Caenorhabditis elegans: one gene and its partner. The protein of the gene in region 1 interacts with the protein of each later gene in a biochemical or structural test. Each region holds a gene or a part of one and is shown on either strand. Other genes may lie near its edges.

Evidence for each region.
Region 2: the proteins of chc-1 (region 1) and dnj-25 form a complex in vitro, tested with the Caenorhabditis elegans proteins (one study listed by BioGRID).

Annotation. Positions count from the first base shown.
Region 1 is NC_003281.10:10,201,620-10,210,111, forward strand, and holds chc-1 (putative clathrin heavy chain 1), read left to right. Parts: upstream 1-2,201; 5' UTR 2,202-2,252; coding exon 2,253-2,375; intron 2,376-2,422; coding exon 2,423-2,543; intron 2,544-2,594; coding exon 2,595-2,959; intron 2,960-3,005; coding exon 3,006-3,185; intron 3,186-3,293; coding exon 3,294-4,154; intron 4,155-4,198; coding exon 4,199-4,501; intron 4,502-4,548; coding exon 4,549-5,703; intron 5,704-5,749; coding exon 5,750-6,971; intron 6,972-7,023; coding exon 7,024-7,602; intron 7,603-7,650; coding exon 7,651-7,787; 3' UTR 7,788-8,085; downstream 8,086-8,492. Other genes in the region: dbd-12 (DB domain-containing protein), read left to right, coding at 4-243, 332-427, 484-576, 623-741, 807-909; T20G5.9 (Partner of Y14 and mago), read left to right, coding at 8,229-8,307, 8,365-8,434. UniProt on the Caenorhabditis elegans protein: Clathrin is the major protein of the polyhedral coat of coated pits and vesicles. May play a role in yolk protein clatherin-mediated endocytosis by oocytes during oogenesis.
Region 2 is NC_003283.11:20,741,136-20,746,710, forward strand, and holds the start of dnj-25 (J domain-containing protein), read right to left. Parts: upstream 3,212-5,575; 5' UTR 3,185-3,211; coding exon 3,140-3,184; intron 3,088-3,139; coding exon 2,959-3,087; intron 2,881-2,958; coding exon 2,717-2,880; intron 2,663-2,716; coding exon 2,560-2,662; intron 2,508-2,559; coding exon 2,447-2,507; intron 2,390-2,446; coding exon 2,220-2,389; intron 1,476-2,219; coding exon 1,251-1,475; intron 1-1,250.

The DNA of each region.
Region 1 (8,492 bases):
ATCATGATCCGAATCTTCTTTGTTCTTCTCGCTACTCTCCTCATTCTCACCGATGCATGTGGATCTAGTGGTGCATGTGGTTGCTGTGGTTGCCGAGCAAAAGCAAAGGCGAGAGCTGCAAAACGAGTTAGTGGAGATTTGGTTCAAGAGTTTGATGGAAAGGATGATGGAAATATTTTTGGACTCAAAGTCTGGAATGATACGAAAACTCCAATCACTGAAAAGAGCATTCAGTTGTTGACAGTAAGTTTGTTTCTGTACATTTGGTAGATCATGGGGATTTTACTGTAAAAAAGTCAAACTTTTAAATATATTTCATATCAATTTTCAGAATCCTAACCACTTGTTCCATGTATGCTGTGAGGAACGACAGTTGCCTCCCGCATGTGTTCAGAAATGCCATTTTAATGTTTATAACAAAGGAGTGGTAGGTTTAAATAGGTCAAGTTTATATTGTGAAATTGAATTTCAAAAATTGTATAGCTGGAATCAATGTTCTTTGGTTCAAGTGAATGCCCGATTGAATTCCTGCCAGAAATGCAATTTTGTGCGGCTCAAGGAAAAGATCATAGCCAGGTAAAAGGTCGTTGAAATCTGCTCAATAACTTCTTACTAGTTTCAGTGTTGCTCACAAAGTCAGGTGGATGCAACGACGGCTGGAAGTAAATGTCTAACCTTCTGCGATCAAACACCCGATCTCTACACTCCAATTGATTACAGCTATGCGCCTTGCCTAGACAGGTTTCCATATCTTTTTATCTTCCAATTCTCGAGGCAAAAGTCATGTTGAATTAAATTGGTTGCAGGTTCGAGGACATGAAACGATGCTTCTATGATAATGTGAAGTCGGATGCAATCACACATTTCGAGGCGAAAAAGAGTTTGCAGGATAAGAGTACATCTTATTAATTGTTTTTGATTTTATATTTACTTAACTTGAGATTTCGAAATAAAATGTGCGATTTCGCAATACCCATCACGACATACTTTGTATTTCATTTTCCATTAAAGCGGAACTATTACACATTTGCGAATTTCTGTGGCAATTGCATAAAAAAACCGGTACCGGGTCTCGACACGAAAGATTCTCTTAAATGCAAAAAGTGTGATCTTCGGTCCGTGGAGTACTGTAACTTCCAGCAGGGCTAATACAAGAGAATTTGAACAGAAAACAATACATAACATTTTTATTCAAAAATGCCAAAAAATTATAATACAATTCAATTTTGAAAACAGTTTTTCGTTGTATTTTGGACCAAAAAAATCGGTTTTTTTTTGCGCAACGTTGTTGGATTCTCAACGTGTTTTATCTCAGTTTTTCCTTGAATTTCGGTAAAACAGAACAAAAAATGAAATGTTCAAAAAAAGTGTTCCAAACTACAGTACTCCTTAAAGGCGCGCACACTTTTAAATCAAAGAAAATTGGTCGTGTCGAGACCCCGTACTGTATTTTTTGTGTAAAACTCGAAAAATTTCCGTGTATGAGTGATCTACTGATTGAAATTGAGAAAACAAAGTTTATCCGCAGATCAAATTTGTTTTTTTTTTCTTTTCAATATTTCACGGCAATCATTTCTTAATCCAAACACGTAATTCACTGTCGTAATTGCTGATGACTCATTCATTTCATACGAACGCTTTTCTTTTGTCAATCCTTCGGCCGTACAAACATAAATTTTTCCTTGTGAAATTAAAAACTCCGCCCAAAGCGAAGAAAATTCCCAGAAGAAATTCGGCGGAAAAGCGCGCTCTACCGAGAAGCGGGGCGCGTCGCGTCGCGTGCCCTGTGATGACAGGGCGACTTGTTCAAGCTTGGCAAACAGGAATCATTTCTCTCGATCAACTGGCTTCTGCATGTTTGACAAAGCTCTCTCTTGATAAGACATTTCCGTTCAATTGTTTTATTTTTACGTTTTCCCTCTTTTTAGGTGCGCTATGAGTCCTCAAAAATTTTTCTTTACTCAGCAAAGAGTTCTAACTTTTGGAATTACAATTTTTCCTTCATTTCAAATCATTCACAGTAATAACAGCGGCCAAAGCTAGCTTTAAAGCTGTATATTTTTCCATTTATTCCTTCAATCTACCGATATTCACTTCTATTTCCCGGAAATGTCTCACTTTTGTGATAAATTTTACGTGACTCATCTTTTTATTTTTATCGTGTTCTCTTTTCTTTTTTTTTCAAACATCTCCATTTGCAGGTATATAATTTATTGTAAGAAGTTTTTCCATTCTACACACAGTTTTCAAAGATGGCGCTCCCAATCAAATTTCACGAGCACCTGCAGCTTCCGAATGCTGGAATTCGGGTGCCCAACATTACATTCTCCAATGTCACAATGGAATCTGATAAGAACATTGTTGTTCGTGAGATGGTAGGTCAAATAATCGCAATTAACTGTTCTAAACGGATAATTTCCAGATTGGTGATCAACAACAGGTTGTGATTATTGATTTGGCCGACACAGCGAATCCAACTCGTCGTCCAATTTCTGCTGACTCAGTAATCATGCACCCAACTGCCAAAATTCTTGCTTTGAAATGTTAGTTTTCAGTACCATTTGACTCTGAAGCTTATTTATACCTTTTTTCAGCTGGCAAGACACTTCAAATTTTCAATATTGAGTTGAAAGCAAAAGTGAAAGCTCATCAGAATGTAGAAGATGTAGTTTATTGGAAGTGGATCAGTGAGAAAACGATTGCACTCGTTTCCGACACAGCCGTCTATCATTGGTCGATCGAGGGTGATGCAGCTCCAGTCAAGATGTTCGATAGACATCAGTCGTTGGCCGGAACTCAAATCATAAATTATCGCGCTGATGCCGAAAACAAGTGGCTCGTTCTTATTGGAATTTCCGCAAAAGACTCCCGTGTCGTTGGAAGTATGCAATTGTACAGTACCGAGAGAAAAGTATCGCAGCCAATCGAAGGCCATGCCGCTTGCTTCGTTCGATTCAAGGTAGGACTAATTCGATGATGGATTTGTCATATTAATAATGTTTTAGGTCGATGGAAACCAAAACCCATCTAACTTATTCTGTTTTTCCGTCAAAACCGATAATGGAGGAAAATTGCACGTTATTGAAGTAGGAACCCCAGCTGCTGGAAACACTCCTTTCCAAAAGAAGAATGTTGATGTTCCATATACCGCTGACACAGCTGGCGATTTTCCAGTGTCTATGCAGGTATGTTGCTTATAGTCGTATAAACAAAATTTGATATCTTTCTGATTGATTGTTTATAATTTCAAAAGCTGAATGGTGTTGTTTATAAAATAAATTGTTGGTTTTCAGGTATCTGCGAAGCAAGGAATTATTTACCTGGTAACAAAGCAAGGATATGTTCATCTTTATGATGTCGAGTCTGGAACACGGATTTATTCGAATCGAATTTCGACTGATACCGTATTTGTGACCTGTGAATACACAGCTACAGGAGGAATAATGGGAATTAACAGAAAGGGACAAGTTCTTTCCGTCTCTATCGATGAAGCTAACTTGGTTCCGTTCGTTACGAACCAGCTGCAAAATCCAGATTTGGCTTTGAAGTTGGCCGTGCGTTGTGATCTGCCTGGAGCTGAAGAGTTGTTCGTTCGCAAATTCAACTTGTTGTTCAGCAACGGACAGTTTGGAGAATCAGCCAAGGTTGCTGCATCGGCTCCACAAGGAATTTTGAGAACACCAGCCACCATTCAAAAGTTCCAGCAGTGCCCGTCTACTGGTCCAGGACCATCTCCACTTCTTCAATATTTCGGAATTCTTCTCGATCAAGGAAAGTTGAATAAATACGAAACACTCGAGCTGTGTCGTCCGGTCTTGGCACAAGGAAGAAAGGAGTTGATAACGAAGTGGCTCAATGATCAGAAGTTGGAGTGTTGTGAAGAATTGGGAGATCTCATTAAGCCGCACGATGTGAATACTGCTCTTTCAGTCTATTTGCGTGGAAATGTCCCGCACAAGGTTGTTCAATCTTTTGCTGAAACTGGACAATTCGACAAGATCGTAATGTATGCCAAGCGTGTCGGATTCCAACCAGACTATTTGTTCCAACTTCGTCAAATTCTCCGTAATTCGAATCCTGATCATGGAGCAAAATTCGCTCAACTTCTTGTCTCTGAGAGCGAAAACGGAGAACCACTTGCTGATCTTTCACAGGTAACGAATGAGAATAAGGATTTGGCTAATTTAAACCTTTTCAGATCATTGACTGTTTCATGGAGGTTCAAGCTGTTCAACCATGCACTTCATTCCTTCTCGAAGTTTTGAAGGGTGATAAGCCGGAGGAAGGACATCTGCAAACGAGACTTCTTGAAATGAATCTGCTCGCTGCCCCAGCTGTTGCCGATGCTATTCTAGCCAACAAGATGTTCTCTCACTACGATCGTGCCGCTATCGGACAACTCTGCGAAAAGGCTGGACTTCTTCAAAGAGCTCTCGAACACTTCACTGACCTCTACGACATTAAGCGAACTGTTGTTCACACCCATCTTCTCAAGCCTGATGTGAGTTTCTAATTAGATTTCTAAAATAAATGCTAATTTATTTTCAGTGGCTCGTTGGATATTTCGGAAGCCTTTCTGTTGAAGATTCGGTCGAATGCTTGAAAGCCATGCTCACTCAGAATATCCGACAGAACCTCCAAGTCGTTGTGCAGATTGCATCCAAGTATCATGAACAGCTCGGAGCTGACAAGCTGATTGAGATGTTCGAAAATCACAAGTCATACGAAGGTCTTTTCTACTTCCTTGGTTCGATTGTCAACTTCAGCCAGGACCCAGAAGTTCACTTCAAGTACATTCAAGCTGCCACGCGCACAGGGCAAATTAAAGAGGTTGAGCGTATCTGTAGAGAGTCGCAATGTTATGATGCCGAACGTGTCAAGAATTTCCTTAAGGAAGCCAAGCTCAACGATCAACTTCCTTTGATCATTGTCTGCGATCGTCATAACATGGTTCATGATCTTGTTCTTTACCTGTACAGAAACCAGCTCCAGAAGTACATTGAAGTCTTTGTTCAAAAGGTTAATGCCGCCCGTCTTCCGATCGTTGTTGGTGCTCTTCTAGATGTTGATTGTAGTGAAGATGCTATCAAACAATTGATCATTAACACTCGTGGAAAGTTTGACATTGATGAGCTTGTCGAGGAAGTTGAGAAACGCAATCGTTTGAAGCTTTTGAATCACTGGCTTGAATCGAAAATCCAGGAGGGAGCGACTGATGCTGCTACCCACAATGCGATGGCCAAGATTTACATAGATTCTAACAACAATCCCGAACGATTCTTGAAGGAAAATCCCTACTACGATAGCAAAGTTGTTGGAAAGTACTGCGAAAAGCGTGATCCTCACTACGCCTTCTTGTCATACGAACGCGGACAGTGCGACGCTGAATTGATCAACGTGTGCAACGAGAATTCACTATTCAAGAATCTTGCAAGATATTTGGTGAAGAGAAGAGACTTCACTCTGTGGGAGCAAGTTCTCAACGAAGAGAATGTTCATCGTAGACAGCTGATAGATCAAGTGGTTCAAACTGCTCTTTCCGAAACTCAAGATCCCGAAGACATCTCTGTGACTGTTAAGGCATTCATGGCTGCCGATTTGCCGAACGAACTTATTGAACTTTTGGAAAAGATTGTTCTCGATAACTCTGCATTCTCGGAGCACCGTAATCTTCAAAATCTGCTCATTTTGACTGCAATGAGAGTAAGTTAATTATTTTAGAAAACATATTCGATCAATCCACTTTCAGGCCGATAGAACTCGTGTGATGGAGTACATTCAAAAGCTTGACAACTATGATGCTCCAGATATTGCTAACATTGCTATAACTTCTGAACTCTACGAAGAAGCGTTTGCCATTTTCAAGAAATTCGATGTGAACTCAAGTGCCATCAATGTTCTTATCGAGAACGTGAACAATTTGGATCGTGCTTACGAATTTGCTGAAAAGTGCAACCAGTCAGATGTCTGGGCATCTTTAGCCAAGGCACAGCTCCAACAAAATTTGGTGAAGGAGGCTGTCGATTCGTTTATCAAGGCCGATGATCCAGGAGCGTACATGGAGGTTGTGAACAAATGTTCTCAAACGGAGCACTGGGAAGATCTTGTTCGTTACCTTCAAATGGCTCGCAAGAAGAGTCGTGAGTCATACATCGAAACGGAACTCGTTTTTGCTCTGGCCAAGACTGGTCGTCTCACTGAACTTGAAGAGTTTATCGCTGGACCAAATCACGCTCAAATCGGACAAATTGGAGATCGTTGCTTTGACAATGGAATGTTCGATTCCGCTAAGATCCTTTTCAACAATGTTTCCAACTTCGCCAAACTTTCCGTTACTCTTGTTCGTCTTGGAGAATATCAAGGAGCTGTCGATGCTGCACGCAAAGCCAACAGCACGAAGACATGGAAACAAGTGTGCTTCTCTTGTGTCGAGAATGGAGAGTTCCGGCTTGCCCAGATGTGTGGACTTCACATCGTTGTCCACGCTGATGAGCTTGAGGAATTGATCAACTTCTACCAAGATCGTGGACATTTCGAAGAGCTCATTGCTCTTCTCGAAGCTGCATTGGGTCTTGAACGGGCTCACATGGGAATGTTCACCGAACTCGCGATTTTGTACTCGAAGTATAAGCCAGAGAAGATGCGTGAGCATTTGGAATTGTTCTGGAGCCGTGTTAATATTCCAAAAGTTCTTCGTGCTGCCGAGCAGGCTCATCTTTGGTCCGAGTTGGTGTTCTTGTACGATAAATACGAAGAATATGATAACGCCGCACTGACAATGATGCAGCATCCAACTGAATCTTGGAGAGAGCAACATTTCAAGGAAGTCATCGCTAAAGTCGCTAATGTTGAGCTATACTACAAAGCAATGCAGTTCTACCTGGATTATAAGCCACTTCTCCTGAATGACCTTCTTACTGTGCTATCGCCTCGGTTGGATCATTCGCGCACAGTTTTGTTCTTCAATAAGCGTAAGTTTAAATTTCGTTTAGTTTTTAAACTTTTAATAACAATAATTTTCAGTGAAGCAAATCCCACTGGTCAAGCCTTACTTGAGACAAGTTCAAAACTTGAACAACAAGGCTATCAACGAGGCTTTGAATCAGTTGCTCATTGATGAGGAGGATCACGCCGGGCTTCGTTCTTCTATTGAGGCTCAAGACAACTTTGACAATATCACTTTGGCCCAACAACTTGAGAAGCACCCACTTGTGGAATTCAGAAGAATTTCCGCATACTTGTTCAAGGGAAACAACAGATGGAAGCAATCGATCGAGCTTTGCAAAAAAGACAAGCTGTACAAGGATGCCATGGAATACGCTGCAGAATCGAGAAACGGAGAACTCGCCGAAGAGCTCTTGTCATTCTTCCTGGATGAGAAACTTTATGATTGTTTTGCCGCCTCCCTTTACCATTGTTATGATCTCCTTCACCCCGATGTCATCATGGAGCTCGCTTGGAAGCATAAGATTATGGATTACGCCATGCCTTACATGATCCAAGTTATGAGAGATTATCAGACGAGACTTGAGAAGTTGGAGCGTTCTGAGCATGAGAGGAAAGAGGAGAAGGCTGAGCAGCAACAAAACAATGGAATGACCAGTGAGTTTTAACAAATATTTAGAATTTAAATTTATTTGATATTTTCAGTGGAACCACAACTTATGCTTACCTATGGTGCCCCTGCCCCACAAATGACTTATCCAGGAACAACTGGTGGCTATGGCGGACAGCCTGCTTACGGTCAACCTGGACAACCAGGATATAATGCCCCTGGATTTATGTAATTCGATAGTTTTATCCCCATTTTCTTACCCCCACCCCCTCACTTTCTCCCCGCATCAATAATTATATTGTAATTTATTGCTTGATGTCTATACACTTTTTTTGTTTAAATTATGATATTCTATTTCTATTTATTCCGTCCCCTATGAAATTGTGATGGTTGTATTCTAATCCGTGAACTTATCCTTAAGGTTGTTGGTCCGATGTGTCGTCTCTCTCAGTTCTGCCCGTTTTCAAAAAAAAGTTGATCACAACTCTTTTAAACCACCAGAACCATCATGAATAAATTAATTCGTTGTTACCAATCGCGTTCGAGTTTCGGATGAAATACTGGTTCAGTCCATCATCATAACATTTTAGTTTTACGATTTTAACTTTTTGTATTATTCACTAGCTGAATTTTTTAAATTGAGATCTAGAATAAGCCATTTTCAGGCCGTATAATGTCTACTAAGCCCGCCGCCGCGAAGACGAAGCCATCGTGTAGTGAAGGTGGTGATCTACGTGTTGAGACTGAAAATGGTTCGTAGATTAAAAAATTCCACCGCGAAGTTTTGTATAAATTTAATTATTTTGAAGGTGAAACATTCATCACAGCAACACAAAGAGCCGACGGAACTTGGAGAAAAGCGAGACGAGTGAAAGGAGGGTCAGTAATCTGGCGATACTGGGAATATAATACCGCTTGTCGATTTACGAAGAATTTT
Region 2 (5,575 bases), on another chromosome or scaffold:
AAATCACAATTTGCCAACAATTTTCGTCAATTCCGATTTTCCGGCAAATTGGCCATTTGCAGATTTGCAGGAAATTTTTCATTCCGTCAATTGGTCGATTTGCCGGAAAAATCGTTTGCTACCCACCATGATTGGTGCCGTATGTAAAAATTACGGTAAGGGAATTACCAAAATCTCTTTTAAAAAAATGTCAAAAACAGAAGAAAAGCCTTCGAGTAGAGGATATGACACCAAATAGAGCTATTGAAAGAAGAAATGTGCCGGAAAATCCACATAAACCTGTGAACCCTCTAAGCTATCCATAATGGGGTTCTGGGTACAACAATAAGCCGTCGTGGTCTCTTTCTCAGTCGAATGCTTTCTCATTTAGTTATTGTTCAGTCATATTCTTTCATCCAAATGAGGCGGCGGGAAAACGGACAGACGAAGAATCTCATTTCGAATAGGTAAACAGACATAGTACACGGCACGGGGAGAGTAGTAGGTCAGTCGGATGTGAAAGGTTTCCCGTTACTAGGGAAGATGGCCGGTTGGCTACTACTGCAGGTGTTGTATTGGACCGGTTTTCGGATTAATCATTATTAATTGAGGTAAATGTGCTGGTTTTTCACTGAAAAACAGGTGGGTAGTATTGGTATTGAACCGGAAAAACTAAAAACCACACATGCTTTTGGTTGAATTCAAGAAAACTTTAGGTCTTGAAGAAAGCAAAACAGCAAGCTCAAACAAAAAGAGCAATGACGAAAACACGTAGAGACAGCGGCGGGCTTTCTGGAAAAAGTAAGACCCTGGGTATTCAAGTGGACCCCGTTCACTTTGCCATTGAAGGAAAATATCAATTTTTGCACTAATTTGAATGCAAAATGTATTGTTTAAAACATGTGTGGACGGCAATTGCCATTCGGCAATTTTTTGTTGACAAATTTGGCAATTTGTCGGTTTGCCGGAAATTTTCAATTCCGGCAAATTGCCGATTTGCCAAAAGTTTTCAATTCCGGAACTTCGCCGATTTGACAGAAGTTTCAATTCCGGCAATTTGCCGATTTACCGGACAATATCGTTTGCCGCCCACCCCTGGTTTAAACCATTTCTCTAAAACATTCCTAGTGAAAGAATTCATGAACAATAACTTTGGTTTCTAGAAAGATTACGTTTAACATAACGCCATAGACGTTTCTAGAACTTTTAGCAAAATTCTGCAGAAATTTGTCACATTTTGCAATTTCCATGTCCCCAGGGGGCCAACCTACCACATCGGACTTCTTTCCCAAGAAAATAACCACATCGTCAACTGTTTCAGTGGATTCCATATTGAAAACGAGTTGTCCTTGTCGATTTCGGCAGGAGTTTGCTGAGAATTCCACAACTTTCAGTTGATTTATACCTTGCTGAATTGCAACGTAGAGATCTCCGTCGATTAGGAGAGTTCCGGGTTCCAGGATTATTTGATTTAATATTGCGCCGGATTGTAGTTGCTGAAAATTATGATTTTTATACTAAATTTTTTTCGAGTTTCGCTGAAATTTGAAAAATGTGTATATGATACTTTTTTTTCTTTAAAAGTTTGTATTCTTTAATTAAAGGGGAGTAGAGTTTTTGGGTATTTTGCTTTTTTCAAAATTTTTTTATGGCTGGTCAACATTTCGAAAAAAAAATGCAAATTTTGCTAAAATCTGAAATCAAAATTAGACTCTTTTTTTCTTTTGTTATAATTTTTTGAAAATTTTTGCTTTTTTCTCCAACATAGACTGACTACGCTAAATATTTGATAATTTCCATCTAATTTTTGGCCATTTTAATCTCAGTTTTTACTTAAAATGTGCGAATTAGCTATTGTTATTCCGAATTTTTCAAAATTCCTACTTAAAGGCGAACGGATGAGTTCGGATGAGTCTCGCCGCGAAAAGCACAATTTTAACAGCTTTTCTTGTTTTTTTTTTGAGTGTTATAAATGTCTTTTTTCGATTTGGTTCAAAATCAAGAATTTTAGTCGAATACAAAAAAATTCCGATATTTTCTGTGAAACATACAATTTTTTGGTAATTTTAAATTTTTTGGTAAAATCCGTTTTTTGATAAAATCCGTTTTTTGATAATTTTTATTGAAAAAGCTATTTATTTCGGTTTTTTTCCTCAGTTTTTGCTTAAAATGTGTGCTTTTCTCTGAATTGAAAATCTCCCATTCTTTTTTTGATTTCCTTTTTTAAAAATAACAATTACCTGCCGCCGTGCGTGATATTTACAGACGTGTTTAGTTTGTTCCAAAAATAAATGATATGTAACTGGAAGGCGATCAAATCGATTCGGAAGTGAATCCGACATAAACTCGGAGACTCTTGAGATGGTACGAGAAGCGATAAGGCAGAAGGCAGCGGTTATTTGAACGTTTTCTGAAAAAAATTGAGCTTTAAATATAGAATTCTAATTTAAAAAATCAAAAATAGTACCATCATTTCCAAAAATCACAATTGCCGCGTCATTAGTTAGCAAGCAATACTCGTTGAGAATCTGAAATTTATTGAAAATTATTTTAAATATATATTTTTAATAGAGAAATTACCGGTACTAATGCCTGAATTGTTGGATATTTCGGAAGTCCACCTTTTGCCGCACTTCCCAACGGAACATGAACTGATTTTGCATAGCCATCCAGCTTCAGTGGTCTGAATTTATTAGAAATTATTTTTTGTGAACATTTTCGAGTTTTCTAAACTTACTCAGCATGAACATTAACCACTACATACGGTTGACAATCAATCATTTCTCGAACGACGGCCGTTTCTGCTTTGAGCAGTCCTTCTTTCGATTTGTGCAACGTGTCGGCGAGCACAATCCGATTAGTGAGCCACGTGAGGCGGATATCGTCATCGCGGTGCTCGGGCTGAATTTAAAACAATTATTGCTTTAAAAAAATGTAAACTTTGCTAAAAATTGACCAAATTTCAGCCGAAAACCTCACCGGCGTCGTGGCTCCTTGACTTTTGTGCTCTTTCACCAGAGACTTCCCGAAATTCTTCAAATTTTTCGCCAAACTCGATCCTTGACCCTTCAGCGACTCCATTAGACCGAACGCAGACGTCGTAGCTTGCTGAAAGATAAAAATATCGAATTTTATAGTTTTATAAGCAAAATTTCGCAACCTGGGTCCATTTCTTCTGTGCTGGAGGTTCTTCGTCAAATACCATCGGATTTATACTGGAAATTACTAAAAAATACCATTATAATAGCTGTAAAAACTACTGAAAATCAATGAAAAATAGCTAAAATTATCTGAAAACGTGTTGTGAAAATAAACGGGTGCAAGTGCGCTTCACGGACACTTGCTTATAGAGCGTGCGAAAAGAGAGACGGCAGAGAAACGAAAAGCCCTTTCGCCAGTTTTGTGAGGAAATTAATTATTTTGCTGAAATTTCAAAAATAAACTAGGCTGAAAATTTTGGAAATAGAGAAGAAAAGTGCGGAAAATAGAGATAAAATCGGTGAGGTTGCGTAACCATCCGCCAATAAAAGCGAAAAGCATCGGAAGCATGCATTCCATGGAAAACCGGTTTTTTCGGCCGAAAATGTGATTCACACAAACTTTATAAGGAGAAAATAATGTATAAAAACTTCTGAAAGTGATATTAATTCAAAAATTTACATTCTATCAGTGAAAAATTGTGGGAAAGTTGCCACCGGAAAGCGTCTCATTTCTGCGGAATTTTTCACATTTCACAATATTTTTTTTCCTCGATTTGTTAAAATTTAATGAGCATTATTTTTGTGTCTAAGTTTGTCAAAAAAGCCAATTTTTCATTCGAAATACAATGAGAAAGCGATGAAAATTCACAAATTCCGCAACAAGAAAAATTCGAAGTTACAGTACTCTTTAAAGGCGCACATCTTTTCGCATTTAACTAAAACTTGTCATGTCGAGACCAGGTTGTGCTATTCTGGCGCGAAAATTGTGAATCTTTGCGTCTCGATAATATAAAATTGTTTGGAAGCTCGTGACTGCGTCAAACAGTGAACATTATTATGTAACGTCACACTCTCTGTAATATTTCGTGAAAAATCCGAATAAATTGTTTGATTGAACCTAAAAACATCGGTATTCATACATATTTCTTTCAGAAAGTACGGTTCCCTCAGTTTTGGGCTGAGTTATTTTTTACAGTTTTACAAGTATTTTTACATGCTCCATTCATATTTCCTTGGTCCCTAAAAAACCTTCGATGCTTTTCAGAACTCTTACCACGATGGCAACTACTTTTCTGAGCACTCTGACTCCCACTGGTATGCCTCTAACCTAATCCGTGTCAAAGGGTGAGCAAGAGAGAGTCCATGTGATATGAAGAGAGTGTGCCAGACAGTGCTGTGCAAATAAACTGCACAGTCATAGTCTTAACAATGGTCTGCGCTGTCAATTCTCCACCATTCCATTATTTTTGAAAATGCCAAGTCAGACACAGAAGCATCATTACAATAAAGAAGTGCAGAAATTTCAATGTTTAGTTCGGAATAACAACAACGCTAAAATAAATTACCTATCTGAAATCTGAAAGAAATACCTGAAACATGCTGAAATATGTTCCCGAATCTCTTCACCTGCTCTCAGCCTAAGTTAACATGAAAGAGCCGCAAAAGTTACTCAAGTGGCCATTGGATTCATGACGTAATTTTCTGGTCGGACCAGCCGGGAGATTATGAGTCCTGTGCATAACTTTCGGCGAATGGAAATGAGGTGATGATTATGTAATGAAGATTATGGTTTTGGTTTCCAGGATCCAGAATGAATTAAGAAAGATTATTATCCACGTGCATGTTGTAATTGATCCTTCGAGATTTGAAAATGTATTTTTATGTTCAGACTATGATTGGCTATCAAAACATTTTATATTTCTCTTGCAACTCTATTAGTCTATTATAACAGTGTATATCGATGTTAATTTGAAAAGTGAAAACAACAAAAAGAGAAATACAAAATTTTCTCAATTGATAAATGTGCTAAAGTTGAATACATTGTTTTTTGCCAGACCAACAGGGGATATACAATTATTGTTGTGTGGTAGGAGTGATTATGTAACCATGTAGAAAAAACTCAACTGTCTGAAGTGCATGAAGCTCAATCATAAAGGGTGTTTTAGCCGAATTTGGCGATTTATAACAAAGTCGGGTAAAATCGATTATATACCGCTGGCAGTGAAGTCATTTTTCAGTGAACCTAAATGACAATTAAAAGTTCTAAAACCGCAGAGATTTACAGATTTACTATATTTTTAAAAATCTCTCAACCCCTGTTTCACTCCAGACAGCCCATCTTCCGGCACATTCAAAAATTGAATGTCAACCCCCACGTCTCCAACACAAAACCAGATACATTCCAATTTTATGACACTATAAACGCCCCAATACATGATGCTTGCGCGGAAAAGAAGACGATGGGGGTACTGTAGACACAAAAGGGGCCATCTTCTCGAAGCCGCGGTGCTGTCCCAAACACCTTCTTTTGTTGTGAGAAGAAGACTGCTTTTTGCGGGAAGAATTTTATCACCTTTTTATTTTCGTGAAGCTATTATTATGATTGTGCAGCATTA